Notamacropus eugenii: one gene and its partners. The protein of the gene in region 3 purifies or fractionates together with the protein of the main gene of each other region. This does not show direct contact. Links are inferred from orthologs where the notes say so. Each region holds a gene or a part of one and is shown on either strand. Other genes may lie near its edges.

Evidence for each region.
Region 1: the proteins of YWHAE (region 3) and LMO7 purify together in Homo sapiens (affinity purification with mass spectrometry; 3 studies listed by BioGRID and IntAct, with this or other methods). This does not show direct contact. The link is inferred for Notamacropus eugenii from reciprocal best matches to the Homo sapiens genes YWHAE and LMO7.
Region 2: the proteins of YWHAE (region 3) and FRMD6 purify together in Homo sapiens (co-immunoprecipitation; 3 studies listed by BioGRID and IntAct, with this or other methods). This does not show direct contact. The link is inferred for Notamacropus eugenii from reciprocal best matches to the Homo sapiens genes YWHAE and FRMD6.

The regions. Positions count from the first base shown.
Region 1 is NC_092877.1:261,780,201-261,785,552, reverse strand, and holds the start of LMO7 (LIM domain only protein 7), read left to right. Parts: upstream 1-1,337; 5' UTR 1,338-1,418; intron 1,419-1,425; exon of another isoform or gene 1,426-1,603; intron 1,604-2,387; 5' UTR 2,388-2,389; coding exon 2,390-2,458; intron 2,459-5,352.
Region 2 is NC_092872.1:326,792,485-326,797,836, reverse strand, and holds the start of FRMD6 (FERM domain-containing protein 6), read left to right. Parts: upstream 1-2,181; 5' UTR 2,182-2,354; intron 2,355-5,352.
Region 3 is NC_092873.1:39,406,791-39,412,142, reverse strand, and holds the start of YWHAE (14-3-3 protein epsilon), read left to right. Parts: upstream 1-1,408; 5' UTR 1,409-1,748; coding exon 1,749-1,812; intron 1,813-5,352. UniProt on the Homo sapiens protein: Adapter protein implicated in the regulation of a large spectrum of both general and specialized signaling pathways. Binds to a large number of partners, usually by recognition of a phosphoserine or phosphothreonine motif.

The DNA of each region.
Region 1 (5,352 bases), on a different chromosome or scaffold from region 3:
TCAAAACAGTCAAGTGCAAGTCATGTCATCATTTCTCTGATAGAATAGTCTTCTTTGGCAATGAAGGATGAACACAAGACTATATGGCAGTGACCATAGAACACCTCTACCTATGAAGAATCAAAATTTTGAACAACTCAGAGAGACCCATGTTGAGGGTAAGTCAAGTTACATCCTGCATTTTGTCAACCTTGATTTGATAAATGGTATGAACTTCCTTGAGAACATGTATGACTGTAATGGATGGGAAGACCATTCTTGTGGTCAAGGAGAGGGAGTGAGTGAATAGAGTGCTGCACTGATATTCAAGAAATATTAAAAAACCTAGAAGAAGATCTCTAGTACATTGAGTAGATCCCTGATGAAGAATTTCTTCCTTCCCTTTTCCGGAGACTATTTTGAGCAGATGTACTTGGCAGAGCAAGGCTGGTCTCATGATATACCTTTTTAGCCTGAATAATTTTACTCTAGGTATGGGGAAAGGGTATCAAATAGGCATGATGGATAGTATTACAGCGATTCACTGGAGGGCTCAAGAACATTACTGCCTAGAACTCAGTTTCAAGTCACTTAAATGCCTAATCACATAGGGTAGTGATGGTGGTGATAATTTTTTTTAATTGAGGGAACTAAGGAGCTACCCCCTTCACAGGCGAACAAGCATTGGCCGGTTTTCTTCCAGAGATTAAGTCATGGAAAGGAAAGACTTTGAAGCAAGGGGCTTGAAGAGGCAGGAATGGTATTCACTGAAGGAATTCCAAGGTGTCTTAGGTCGTTTAGACAAAAGATTGATGGCATCCCTCAAACAGCTGTCTCCGCAGCTCCTTCTTGAACCGGGTTCACAGGATGCGGCCTGAGCAGACTTACAACCGCCCCTCCTGCCCTGACGGAGATACTCAATGGCGTTCAGGTAAACAAGAGAGACCAGCCTCTCCACCAGGCAAGTTTCCAGCAATCCCAGTGTGTGCCAGAGCTGACCTGGGGGAAACCACACTGGGAGGGAGGGGAAAGGCGAAGAGAGTAGGCTTCATTCTCCTGCCTCCCAGCCTAAAGTTATTTGATCGCACAGAAAGTGAGTGGGCTGCGGGGGCGAGCTGCAGGTGACCCTCACCCACCTGTAGGAAATGTGAAGGAGGAACGAGGGAGAGGAACGAGAAGCAGGGGAGGAGGGGCTCTTTGGAGAGGGGGGTAGTTTGGGTCCCAGTCCCGACGAACGCTACCCTCACCTGCCGCCAGGAGTCCCCTAGCAGGGAGGGAATCTCGGGGGGAGGAGAGAGGGGGCTGGGGCTGCGGCTGGGGCTGGGGCTTGGGGGCGGGGCGGGGGCAGAACACCTGGTGGGAGGGCGAGGAGCTCCTCTCCCAGCTTCCAGGCGGCTCGAGGAGGGTGCCGGCGAGCGTGCCCAAGGCTGGAGTCCCAGGTAGAAGGGGCTGGCTCGGGAGCCCAGCGAGGGGAGGGGGCCGGGCGAGCCGATCCCAGCTCCGAGTCTTGGAGGGGCTCCTGGCTGGGCTGCCTCCGCGGGGCGGCTGCGTTTCCGCGGCCAGGGCACCCAAGAGGGGGAAGTTTCTTGGCTGGGAAGGATGCGATTGTGTTGAGCTATTCCTGGTATGTCGGGCACTGGCCCTGCAGCCGGGAGCTCCGAGGACTCGGTTTCCAGGGGATCCGGGAAGGGAATGAGCTCCGTTCGGGGAGGGATAGGGGCCAGAGACCCCGGGAGGGAGGGGACGGGACGGGACGGGACTGGGAGGGCTCTTTCTCCGGGAGGCTCAGGCTCCCCGGGGTGGCGGGCTGCCCTCCCCCTGGGGCTTGCCCTCCGACGTGGATTTGGCATCCCACGGCTCAGACAACCTAAACCACAAGGGCTGGCACGGCCCATGCCCAGGGCACAGCCGGAGGAGTAGGCGGCGGGCGGGCCGAAGCGGCTGCTCCACATGGCCCCGGGCTTCAAAGCAGCTGCGTCGGGGCAGCCAGGGCCGGGAAGGCTGCGGTGGTTCCGGGGGAGCGCAGAGGAGGGGAGCTGCTTTTGAAGTTCAAACAGTTCTTGGGGCTGTCTCTCTCCTCCCCCTTCTCCCCTTCCCCCTCCCATCTTCCTTCTCCTCTCGGACTGCCCTGGTCCCTGCGGACCCTGGTTCGTTTTCAGGGCTTTGTAGAAAGCAGTTTCTTCAAATTCTTGTGGTTTCGGGGCATTAACAAACTCCAGAGAGCAACAAAGGGGAAAGGGGACTGGGACCATTCCAGGCAGAGTGGAGTGACAAGCCGCGCTGCCTCTTGGTCCCCAGTCCCAGAGCAGCCTCGTTAAGTTGTGCTGACCCCCCTCCCCAATCCCGCCCCTCCTCGCCCACCCACCCATTTCTTTCTCTTTCTTTTTTTCCCTCCCCTCTTCCTCTAGTCATGGAAGGGAGAGAGGATGCGGAGTCCAACTGTGCTGTAGCATTCGCTGAAGCTCAGAGATGGGTGGAGGTGAGTGCATTCCCCCCCCCCTTTTTTTTTTACTTTCCCCCCTTCACGATCTGGTGGCTTTACAGGGGGTTCAAGGGTGACGTTTAAAACCCAAACTGCGTTATTCTTAACGACCCTTCCCTCCCTTCATCTTTGCTACATGGTGGGAGACAATCGATTCAGAAGTGGGTAGTTAGCGGGTAAACTTTTAACAGTTCGAGTCTCTGTCTGTTTTTTAGCTCCCTCTTCCCCTGCAAGTCTCTCTTTCTATTCTTTAAATTATTCTTAAGGTGCAGAGTGAAATAGGTGGTAGTTTGTCCATCACCGTATCAGGTGTCCAGATCCATGCGGACTGTACCAGGATCAGTTGTCTCCCTTGATCCTATCTGGGTCACAATCCAGAGGATGTAATGGTCTGGTGGAATCTCTGCACTAAACCAAAAGGGAGGAAAGAGAAAAATATATTCCTTTTGTTCATATATGACTAAGATGCTGTAAACATCAACCGAACCAGGTTTGTCTCTGTATGTGTGTCTGTGTGGAAGGGAGTGGGGCATGGGACTGAAGCGGCGAAGGGACTTGAAGGGACAGAGAATGGATGAGTAAATACTAAGGCAGTAAACTTGCCTATGAGATTTAGGAGAGGATCTCTAGGGGAGTTTTAATTCTCACTGATGAAGGCTGCTACCGTATTCCTGGGCTTCTAGTACAGCATAGGAGTTCTCTGCTTTCACTGTGCCTTAGAAACACCATCTTCTTGTAGTTTTCTATTCCCTAATTTCCTTTTTTAAAGAAATGTGAGCTCCTTGAGATTTTTCTCTCTGTGCCTTTACATCTACGCTTTGGGTTGAGTTTGTCCCTAAATAGGTTTTCAGGATGATTCCTGGAAGCTTATGGAGAAAGAACACTGGTGGGGAAAAAGTTTTCTCAGTAAGTGTGCTAGACTAGCATACACACACACATAATGTATATTATATACATATATTCACAAAAATGGCTTATTGGAACATTGTCTTGCACATTGGTACTCTTAGCATTTGGAACCAATGTTTATACTTTCTTAGTTTATTGAAAGATGGTTTTTTTTGGAATGAATTTTTGAAGACTATACCACACAAAATGCAATTTTTTAAAGAATGTAAGTTTTAGCAGGTAAAAAAACAAGTAATAGATTAATTTCTTTTTCCTCACAGGTTTATTTACTAAGCATCTCTTTGGACAGACATTTTGATCCCTTAGCTTGAAGATGAATTTTTTTCCATATTTTTAAAAAAAGCATGTAGAAGGCTTGAGTAGGCTAAGAAAATAATATAGAGACTCTTTAATTGAAATGAGAATAAAGGACCTCCCTCCCCCATTTGCTTAAAAGAAAATAACTTTTCTCTGTTTGGCTATATTTTTAAGTATGTACTGCAAAAGTAAATTTGCATGTATCATTTTTTTTGAGACATTGTCCTGGACATCTTAGAAGAGGAAGTGTGTGTGTGTGTGTGTGTGTGTGTGTGTGTGTGTGTGTGTGTGTAGGAGATCAGAAAGAATGGGGTATTTTTGCTGTTGTTTATATTGGACATTTTACAGTTTCTAAAAGAGTATTCATGGTATTTGTATGTGGGACTTCATGCTTCTCTTTTCTTTAGAATAATTATAAATATGTTTGACTTCCACAAGTGTGTGTGTGTGTGTGTGTGTGTGTGTGTGTGTGTGTTCTGGTTTCTTTGAACTAAAAGTTCAGTAAGTATTGCAACTTTCCCATGAACTTAATGAAACCTATATTTTAGGATCTTCCATGAAATAATCCCAATGAAGGAATGTGTATTTGTGTTGTATAATTATGTTAAGTATATAAACTTTTCCTCTCCTCTTTCCTCCAAGTTAAAGATCTTCAATGATTTTGAAATTTCCAATAAAAATATTTTTAAGTGTAAGATTATGATTTTGGAGGAAAATTACTGTGCTAGAAACTAGATAACTAATTTTTTCAAAGGATGTATCAATTTAATATAACTAGCCAATATAATTAAAAATAAATGATTCTTTTAAAATACCAGCAGCTATACAAAGGGAGAAGTGTTGTTTGTGTGAATATTTTTACTTCTAGAAAATGATAGAAAATATTTACTGTTCAGATTTTCCAATCTTAAATTTGTAACCTTATCTTTGTGGTTATCATGTTAAGGAAAATTTAAGACAAATTTTAATATCTTTTATTCTCTTAAAAAAAAGAATGAATATAGAATGAATATACAAGAATAGCTTGGATTCTTTCATGGTATCAACTCCTTTCTGACTAAACTAGAACCTTATAAATAATAAGCCATAGATAAAACCTTTTTTGACTTTCACATTTTTTGGCTTTCACATTTTCTTGACTTTTTGAGGTAGGTGGAAAAAAGAAAGATTGTTTTTTAGTTTTGTGTTGTACTTGTTGAGGCACTTTTGCCCCTTTTCTTTTCTCTTTCCCCCCCTTCCAATCTCTCACCTCTAAGCAAATTAGCAATACAAAACAGAGACTTTAATTTTGCCACTTTCTATTCTACTTTTCTTTGTGGTTTTGAATATTCAAATATAATTGGTTCTAGTGACCTTGAAGGCTCTAAGAGTACTGTTGACTACTAGTACTAGCTGTTTAATTTTTTTTCTTTCTTATTCTGATCTTACGTACTTGTGAGTAACTTGATGGAAATAAATTTTTATTATTGGGGAGGTTGTGGAAAGGGGAGGCATGTAAAATAGAGTATGAGGTTAAATGCTATAAATATCATGATGTCAGAATGCACAAGTTTGTGGTTGGTTTGATTTTGGTGGCTCTAGGTTCAGTAGGAACTATATTAGATAATTTTTTTAATGCCTTTTGCTTTTATATCACATTTCATACCTTCCCCCATCCCCTACTCAATGAGCCATCCTTCGTAAGG
Region 2 (5,352 bases), on a different chromosome or scaffold from region 3:
TTCTATATTAGCCATTGTTGCAAAAAAAAAAAAAAACCCACCAGAAGCAAAATAAAGCAAAAATAAAATTTTTAAAAATTATGCTTCACTCTGTATTCAGAGTTCATTAGTTCTCTCTCTGGAGGTGGATAGCATCTTTCCACATCCTATCTATTTAAAATGTTTTTCTTAGCCTTTAATTTTGTGATTGTTTGGACAGGGAAATAGACACTGTATGCTCTTAATCTTTTGCTAAATGAACAAGGTATGTGGGCATGTACAGTCTGACTTAGTCATTTCCCTGTTCATCAATCTCCAGTGGCTACCTATTGCCTCCAGAGTAAAATACATTTATATTTAAAATATTGTGGTATTTAAAGTTCTGCACCATCTGGTTACAACTTATCTTTCAGCCTTATTTCATTACTCCCTTTCATGTACTCTACATTCCAGTCAAACTGGTCTACTTGTAGTGTCTGCAGTCCCAAGCTTGGTTTGGGCTGCCTCACTTCTCCACTGGGAGGTTTTTGATTTCTTCAAGGCTTACTTGGCTCCCAAAGGAATTTTTCCTTGTTGTTAGCTCCCTCCCTCCTCAAATGATCTTTCATTTACTTATCTTGCCTCTGTGTATTTCCCAATAGAATGTAAACTTAAATGGTTTGTGTTGATTTTTTTTGTATTTTTGGGGGAGGGAGGGAAAGGGAGGCCCAATACTGTGCAAGTGCCTTCAGCAAATATTTTTAAAAGGTATGTTGAAATGGACTGAATGGCAATTAATATTGGTGGGTTTTAATGATTTTTGTGTAACTCCCTCCAAAAAAGAAAAGCAGTATGATTTTTAAAGTTAATTTTTAAAGTTTTAATTGTTTCCTATTCAACATAATTTATCTTTGCATCCTTCTCTTGATTCACTCCCATTGTGTGTGTTGTTGTGTTCTTCCTTCTGTTTTTTTGAAGACCATGTCATCAGAGAAATGATGACACGACTTACACTTGACTTTGTTTTGAGTGAGAGATGTGCAAAGTCCCCAACCTCACTTTTTCCTCCTGAGTCATCACTCCCATTGATGTCCTCTGCGAAGGCCTCATCTTGAGGGGTTTTGATTTCCATTGTCTATGGGTCCACTAGGACCTGGACTAGGTCAGATGCAGAATGACAAGAAAGGAAGAAGAGCTAGGAGAGTAGGAAAGTAAGTGGTTGGAGCTACAGTTGTTAATGTTGAGTGATCATACTTGAGGGTAAGGCAAGGATGGAGTAATTCTAGATATCCACTCACCTCCATTCTTAGCTTGTCTTTCATTTGTCCACTTTCTTCACTACTTCCTTACAGTTACAGACATGATCAGATCTAATGTAGTTATCAATCAGTAAGTTCTTATTGCTGTCAGTCTCTGCACTGAGCGCTGGGATTTAAAGAGGAGGGAGAGAGGGAGAGAGGGAGAGAGAGAGAGATTCAAGCACCTGCATTCAAGGAGCTGACATCCTAATGGAAAGAAAACTTAAAAATAGGAGATTAATTACAGAGAAATTCTTCTTTTCCAGTGTCCCTGCTCCTCAAGGAGACTTCACCCCTAAACATTACCAGTCTTTGAATTTCCTCAAGCTACCCTGAACCATTTGATGACTAGTAGAGCGGGACAAGGCATTTAAAATACCTAAAATATCACTTCTGTCCTCCAGATAGCAATGGGAGATGCGTTCAATTTTTACAGACACATACTTTACAATACTCAAAAGGCCCGCTTTGTAAAGATGGTTGTTGCAGTATCATAACTGTGGGAGGCACAGAGTCCTCCTTTGCTACTTCCTCTGAGTTATCACCTCTAATTTCGTGGAATTAGACAAACAAGCAGCCAAGCATGCAGCCCCACATACATCTCCCAAACCAAACTCATATTTAAGGAGAAAGAGGGAGGCTCTATCTAGGAGAAGGGGGGCGATACCAAGGATTTTTCTGTTAAAGTGAGGAATATTCCTTATGTTACAAGTATCGCATATTTCTGAAGAGTTACAAGCTTGTGGTTATACTCAGGATGTAGGATCCATCGTTGACTAAAGCTTAGACGTCCTTCTCCTTTCTTCTGTGCCTCAGGTTTTCCCCCTTAGAAGGCACTTGGTACGGTCCCGGGGGCGGGGCTGGCGGGCGTCCACGTGCCGGTCCCCCGAGGAGCTCCCATGTAGCTCGGCGGCCACCTAGTGACGAGTTGAGGGAGAGGACGTGGAAGAGGAGGGACTAGGGGCGGGACGGAAGCGGGGCGATCGCTACCAAGGCTAAAGGCGGAGGAGACTGAGACGGGGAGGAGGTGGAGGAAAGCCCTGGGCAGAGAGGAGCGAAAGGAGTTTCTGATGCCTCCTGTCTTCGAATTTATTTAAGGTAGGGGAGGTGGAAGCCTGTGCCCCGCAATGGGGGTGGGGGAAAGTCCGGCGGTGTTTCAGTCCGAGCCCCGATGGGCCCCACACAGTTTCTGGTTTGGCTCCCCTGGCAGACGCGGTAGAGCAGGGCTTTGAGGGTTGGGGAGGGGGGAGGGGGTGCTTCAAAGTGGAAAAAGCTGGCGGGCCTCAGACGAAGAAATATCTCGTCTCTTTTTCTCCTCCACCCTTGTTTTCCCTCCCCTCCACCCTTTGGCTTTTAGGGTCGTTTTGCCGTTTACAAATTCGCTGCTCCCAGCAAATCCCTGGGACTGGAGGATGCATTAGCCTTGTGCCTAAGTCCTAGGAGTGGGGTGAGGTTGCTGGAGGCAGGCGGTGCTGGTGACTTGCTACCTTCAAGAAATGAGGCTCTATTTATTGCTTGGTCGCTGCCTCCTTTCAACTCCGCGTTCCCGCCCCCGCTTTTCCTTCCCTCCTCCTTCCCTTCCCGGGTTCTCTGGGCTCACGAAAAACATATTAACCATGTCCCGCTGGGCGCTCCAACAGCCTAGTTTATACCGACCACAGTCCTGGAACTGGAAGATGGGGGGAAGGGGCTGCCACATGTGGGAGGAACCCCAAACTGTCACTTGCCTTGGTATTCCCAGCGGGGAGGCAGCTCTTTAAAGTTGTTGCAAGGGAGCTGCTTCTCCCGAAAGCTGCTCTGCCTAGTTTGAGGGACCTGGAGGTGGGTGTTGGGATGTAGCTAAGCCGTGGGTCTTCCTCGGGGTAATAACCCGCACCCTACGGAGCTGATGCTGAGTGTTGGAGAGAGCCAGGATCGCCCGAGTCAGCAGGACTGCACGTGTGGAGGCCGAGGACCCTGTAGCACCTTACAGATGGGTGCTTTCGGAAATTGACATGGCAGGAATTAGAGTAATTTACTAGTGAGGTAGCCAATGTTTCCATTTGTGTGAAATTGTCTAGCAGGATGAAAGAGTGCATTGAAGTCATGTGTTCTGCGCAGAAGTAAGAGTTAAGTCTCTGCCATGGAATATGTTAATAGTGGATTTTTGTTTGGAAGCTATGAATTGGTGGAAAAACTGCCCTGCAAAAGCATATTTTACTCCTGAAATGAAGAGCCACAGTTTTTCAAGTCACTCACGTGTGATATGGTCTCAGTAGACTCTGGTCCCTGGACTTCCTCAACTTTCTTTGTTTTTGCCGCCCTCGCCTCCCCAAGGATGTGTTTGGATTTAATAACATATCACAAAATCCTTTGTTTTCTTCTGGTGTCCAATGGAACCAGCGAATTTATTGTTTCACAATGCTAGAGGAAACCATAATAAACCATCAAAAATTTGTCATGGCGTTTAAATTTAAGGTTCTGTCTTCCATTGGTTCTGAATCTGATCTCAGAATGCACAGTAAATGTCATGTCTTCTTGGGATTTCCTCTGTATTAGATATAATCCTAATAGCCTTTCTGGGAGAACCCCAGATATTTTATTTATTAGCTTTGAAAGAATCTATCTAAATTTATTTATTTATACACAAAATACTCTTTTGCCACAGGGCAGAGTTTTAGGGATTATGTTGGAGAAAGCTGCCAGTGGCTTCATTTTCCAAGAATGTTAGTCATTTCCTTTCAGTGATTTCAGCAAGCTGATATTTCACTGCCTCAAAACTTTCTGTGGGGAAACTTTTTTTCCCCTCAGAAAGCATGGTTATTTTGAGATATATGTCTATTATTTGTTTGTTTTAAAATAGGATCATACATTTGCATTCAGTGGCAGTAAACAGTGTAGAGTTTTTCAAAATAGGACTTCTGAGAATTTTGAAGAAAATATTTTTAAATAGCCATCAAGTCCTTTTAAAGCCTTCCTAAAAGAGTGGTGAGGAAAAGGAACAGAAAAAAGACAGATGATTTGACTGTGGCCCTCATGTTTAAAATTCGGTAGAAATTTAAGCCTTTGTGGTTTGGGCAATAAAGTATAGGGCAGAATATTATAAATGTCTGTGAGAAATATGATATCTGGATGATGTCAGTATATTTTACAGATGTTAAATTCGTATTTCACATAAAAACACACCTTTGGAAAATTGACTAGACTTATGCTGACTATCTTCTCTGAGGAGACTAAACTTTTACATAACTCCCACTGTGTGCTCCAACCCTGTGAAGGAACAGTTCTATCCACTGAGCCCCCAGCTGCCTGTGGCCAAGCAGCGTACTTGTAATATGAACTGGACTTTTTTGTTTTTTTGGTGGGGGCAGGGAAGGGGATGATTAAGATCTTGCACTGATTGACCACTGGAATGTTCCAAAAAAGTTTCTGTGTGCAGGAAATATTTGTTTCTCCTCTTCTCTACCCCTTTTTTTTGGAACACTGTATTTCTTGAATTTTTCAGGGTTAAGACACTGCGGGATTGATCAGAGAAGCTTTTGGAAAAAATGCAAAATGAATAAAATAGTACAAATGAAAACATGAATTTGTCAAAGTTTAGTGTTGGTATAATTCAGATTTTCAATCTGTATTGGAGATTCTGGCTGTAGGTATTTTGTCTCCAAATTCTTTAAAATTGTTACTGAATTAATGGATTTTCTTGTAAAATATTTAAGTCAATTATGCTCTTTAGTTTTTCTAGTTTGTGGCACTTTGTTTCCAGTTTTCCTCTGCAGTGGTACTAAAGTTTTTGGCTTTCAGAATTTATGATTACGTGATAGACTTTAAGAATCATGCTGGAAATGAAAGATTTCAGATTAATCAGTCTTTTTGATAAAACTCTCAGATTTTAGTGTGAAGGAATATTATCTTTTGTGAGGCAAAGTAATTTTGAACTTGGAAGTTGCACATTTTGATATCTAAAGGAATTTTAGTATAAAATCTGCAAGCAATTATTTTACTGCATGAAATCTAATACCAAGAAGAGATTAATATATACCAGGTGGTAAAATGTATATGAACTTGAGATTTGAATGATCTCAGTGAGATTTCCCTTTGTTTGTGCATAATACCTGGA
Region 3 (5,352 bases):
AATGGTGGAGGGTCTTTGGGGAAAATAGGCACACTCAGGAAGTGTTGATGGAGCTTTGAAATGGTACTGCCATTCTGGAAAGCACTGTGGAACTCGGCCCCTGAATGCACATGCTCTTTGATCCAACAAAGAAGAAAAGGTCCTATGTATATAAAAATATTTTATAGCAGTTCTTTTTGTGGTGTTAAAGACTTGGAAATTGAGGGAGTAAGCATCAACTGCGGAATGGCCAAACAAACTATGGAATATATATATTTGTTATGGCACATAAAAGGTGTGGAAACTTTAAAGCAGTGTATGAATGCTATCATGATGATGATGACATGAATGTAATAAAAAAAATACTGTGCTGTAAGAAATGAAAAGGTAGTTTGAGAAAAACCTGGGAAGATTTGTGTGAACAGATTCAGAGCAAAGGAAGCAGAACCAGAAAATTTACAGAATGACCCTACTGTAAAAAATGAACACTTTTGAAAGATGATAATTCTGATCAACAAAATGACTAACCATGACTCCAGAACACTAATGAGGAATGTTACCCATCTCCTGTTAGAGGTGATACATTCGATATTCAGGAGACAAGGTTTTCGCAGGTGGTCAATATGAGAATCCAGTTTTGCTGGATTGTGCTTAATTACAAGGGTTCTGGCTTTCCTTCTTTCTCAGGGAGGTGGGATGGAGAAAAAAATGACAGATAATTGAAAAAAATTAATTAAAACATTTTCTAAGTCTTCTCTTTTCCAGACTAGACATCCATCAAGGAGGCAAGGAACCTGTGCAGTCAGACTGTCAAACACCCTCCTTTTACAGAAGAGAAAACTGAGGCCACAGCTAATATGTGGCAGAGTCATTAATAGAACATGGACTCTTTTTTAACTTGAGAGTTCCCGGGCCAAAATCTGGCTGAGAACGGAAGGGAGGGCCCTGCGTGGAGGCACGGGCGGCATCTGGACCGGCTTCAGCTTTACCACTAGGGTTGAGTCCATGTCACGACTAAGGAAAGTGGATACAGCTAAGTATACAGACAGGCGCACATAATTGCATGTTCCCCTCCCCCCCAGGGCAGAGCCGTTCCCAATCCCTGGAGCCCTCCCGGGGAACCACCACGTGCCCAGCAGGGTCCCTGGGGACACCTCATTCCGCACCGCTGGCCCCCCACCTCTCTAGTGCGTGTGGGGGTACAGCCTGGCCCTCAGTCCCCAGGGGGTAGAATTCGAATTCTCCTCCAGACCGTCCCCCGCCTTGATAGACCCAGGCCAGGCCAGGCCAGGTCACTCCATAAGGCTGGGCCGGGATTTCGGGTTGGGGCCAGCGGGTCCGCGACCCCCCAGGGCTGGGAGAGGGCGGGGCCTCGGGGCAGCCAGTCTAAGGCCGTCCGTCCATCCCTCCGTCTTTCCGTCGGTCTGTCGGTCAGCCCCACCACAAGCAAAGCCGACCGCGGCCGCCGCTCCCCTCGCCCCGGCGTCTGCCCCACCCCCTCCCGGCCTCCCGCGCCCTCCCGCCGGGCTGGCTGGGGGAGCCCGGCCCCGCCCCTTCCATCCGCTCGGGCTCCAGCCCCGCCCCCCGCGCCAGTTGCCAGGGAGCGGTTGCCATAGAGCTGAGCAGTTGTCCGCGTGCGCAGGCGGAAGTTCCCGGATCGAGGCGCCGCCATCTTTGCTGCCCGGACGCCGAGCGAGAGGCTGACAAGAGAGTCGGAGCCGCCATCCGCTGCCATCCGTCGCGCAGACCCTGCCGGAGCCGCCGCCGCTATGGACGATCGGGAGGATCTGGTGTACCAGGCGAAACTGGCCGAGCAAGCCGAGCGATACGACGGTGAGCTGGGGAGGAGCGGCGAGCCGGAATCCCCGGCCCCGCCGCCGCCGCCGCGGCCGCCGCCGCCCACAGCGGCCAGGATCAGGAGACAAAATGGCGGCGGCCGCGGCGGCGTCTCGCAGCCCGGCCCGGGGAAGGCGGGCTCGGGGCGCGCGGCCGGGCCCTGCGGGTGAGGGGCTCTGGGGGCTCGTGCGGTTCCGCGTCGCCGCCGCCGCCCCCCCTCCGAGGCTGCGCGTGGGCATGAGACCGGGGCCACCGCGGTGGAGGGAGCTGGTTGTAAAATGGCGGCCGGGGGAGGGCGAGTCCCCGGGCGGGGGAGGGGGAGGCGGCGGCGGCCTCGGCCTCGGCCTCGCTCCCTCCCGGCCGCTCGGCCCCCGGCCAGCCCCGGCTCCCTCCCCGCCGCGTGCCGCTCGGGAAGATGGCGGGTGGGGGGCGGTGGCTCCCCGAGGCCCGAGGCGGGGCGGCGGCCGCACAAAGGAGCCGGCCGCGGGCCATCCTGCCTGGAGGCCGATCCCCGGGGGCCCCGCGGGCGGCGTGGCTGGGCCGGGAGCGCGCAGAACCGGGGCCGCCCTTTAATCCCGCCTTCCCTCCCCGAGCGAAGGCGGCCCCGGCCCGCAGCCCCCCTGGGGGCCCCGGAGGCGCCGGCTCGGGCCTAGCGGCCCCAGTCCATCTTGGTGGATGGAGGGCTGGGCCTGGCCCAAGGTTCGGCCCTGGGGTTCGGGCGGCCCGCCGTCGGTTCGAGTCGTGGCGGAAATAAATGGATTCCATCCTTTTATTTTTTTCTGCGGGGGAGCATTTTCACATTTAAAGGGGAATTTCTGCCTCGTCTCCCCGGCCCCGAGGCTGTTTCGCCCCCGGCACGTCCCTTCGGGCCGCCCCTGGTCAGCCCCCCGCGGACCGAGCCGCGGATGCCGTCCCTCCTGCATTCATTCACCCACCATCTTTTGGCCCCGTGGCCGAGCCCATCACCTCCCTTTTCTTCTCCCTCCGGAGCCCCGCCTCCCTCCTCCCCTCCCCTCCCCCTCCCCGCGGGCTCCCTTCCCCCTCCCCCTCCCCCTTTTTGTGGGGAGGAGGGGCGGGCGGTGGAACCTGGTGGATTTCTCCTCACCTTGGGCCTCGTTAATCCCGTGAATTTCCTGCGGCTCCACGGGAGAAAGTTGAGCCACGAGGACACGTTCAGCTTCTGGGTTGGGGTTTGGGGACGTGAGACAGACGTCCATAGGCTGCAGCCTCCTTCTCAGAAACTTGGAAGACTAGGGCACTTGGAAGCCCTCAAAATCCTGATTTAAAAAGCATTTCTTTGGGAGGGGAAAGGGATTGTTTCTGAGGGACTCATTTTGTTATTTAAAGTCCAAGCAGAGGGAGGCATACTGTCGTTTAATGAACATTTATTAAGCGCCTACTGTGTGTCCAGGCATTAAGTGCAGGATTGCTGCTGATTTTTTTCCCCCATTCTTTATATATTCCACATAAATTCTCAACTTGTTTCTTTTTTTCTGAGTAATATAAAATTATTAATTGATAAGTTTAAATAAGATCACCTTGAGGGACGGAAAACTTGCTTCCATGTCCCCATTCTAGTTAAGTTCTGGAATTTTTAAGATCCAGTTCAAGGTCGGAATGGGAAAAATAAGATTTTGCAAATAAATGGTAGTTAGCTGTTTAGGCCTTTTTTAAAAACTAAGGTTACTAAAGGTACTTCTGGTCAGTCACGTTGTTTCAATGCTGTACTTGCCACATCTAAGGTGGGAAAGGAGGAGGAGGCCAGTACGATTATGGGAGGTAACCAAGTTAAGAAAGGGATGAGAAGGTTTCCACCTTTGTGGATCAGTATGTGAAACTGTTAACAAATATTATAGATTTTGTCATTTGTGTGTCCCAGGCTCAGTGAAATAGCTGTTTTGGGGGGGAGGAGGAAGAGACAATCATACTTGAGGATGTTCAAGTCTTTTAACAAAATGGATGGATCCCCAAGCTCTTGGTTGCTAAGCAAATAACATTTTCCTTCTCTATGAATGGGATGAACCAGATTCTTCCATCTGCCCATCTGAACTTGATCTGGTTCTCCTCCCACTTTTCCCCTTACTCTTGCAGTGTCCCTGACAATTTATTGGAATTTCTTCGTTGAAATTCAACTGCTTAATTTTTTGTTGTTACTTTTATTCTTCAGGTCAGAGATAAAATAGAGGAACTAAGCCCTAAACCTCCCTGGGAAACAGGGCAATTTTTTGACTGCATAGGAAGCCCTAGACCAGCTCCACTTCCTGCCAGTTGTCCCTGAAGGTTAAATCAAACATCCTACCACGGTTTGAATATGTCAATATTCAAAGGTTTCCGTGGTAGGTGGTTGTGGTGCTTCTTTGGATCCTTCTTTGGATCTATTCTTTGTTAAGGAGACAAATTGCAAGGGAATATATTTAGAGTGGTGGTTTCATGTGTTTTCTGACCTTAGAAACGGGCTACAAGACATTTTTAAAAAAGACTTCTTGAAACCCTAATAATAGCCTATAAAGCAAATAAGGTTTGCATAAGACTTTCTGCCTAAGGGAATTAAAAAAACACTTTCTAAGTTTTCATTTACCTTTTCACTTTCCTTGGACTTTGGAAACATTTATACAGTGAACACCTTTCTGATGCCCTTGGTCTATTCCTTGGGCAGCCAGGTCACTGTGGGACTTGAGGGGTAGTTGGTGTGCCCTTGTTATTTTCTTTTCTCCTTCTTTGCCTGAGTATATTTAATTCTTTATCAACTAGACTAGGATTTGAGATAGTTGCTTTGACCTATGTATCTGTTGCAGAAAACTATTACCCCCAGGGATTATTTTTTTCTCTGACTGGAAGCTCTCCTTTTTGACATCAAAGCCACTTCTGACCTTCCTGAGTTTTGAATAAAGTATTAAGAAGGTTTTTTTTAGTTAGAAAAAAGAAACAAATAAGAAATGGATTCATTTTGTCTGTTTAAAAGAGAGGCTGCTATTCTGGGTGGTTAGACAAGAAATAGTAAACTCCCAATACTCTTCATGTTGCCATTTCAATTAATAGGAGATTTAACCTAGTTCTGTCCTTAGAGACTTAGAACATTTAGAAACTTTGCAGCTTTTTTTTCCTCTCATTTGTATTTTGACTTCTCCTAGGCTGTGAGTACAACTTGAGGCTTAGCATTTTAGTATCACCTCCATTTTTAGAATCTAAGGAGGCATGAATTCCTTCACAGCATCTTCTCCTGTTCTCTACTTGATTTCTGGTGAGTGAAAGGAGTTACTACCAGGGCATTTATTTTCTACAGTTTTTAATCGTTGTGAAGTTCTTTCTTATGTTAAGCTGAAATTCCGAGGTAGCTCACCACTGGTCCTAGTTTTGCTTTCTGGGTCCAAGTGTAGCTCCTTAGGCATTTGGTGACAGTTCTTGAAACGAAACATCCCCCATTCCCCACCCTTTTCACATATTGCTTAGTTTTGAGTCTCATCACCACTTAACAGTGGACATGAAGTGAAAGAAGACCTAGGCTCAAAGCTCAAAGTGCTCTTGAGCTGTTAGACG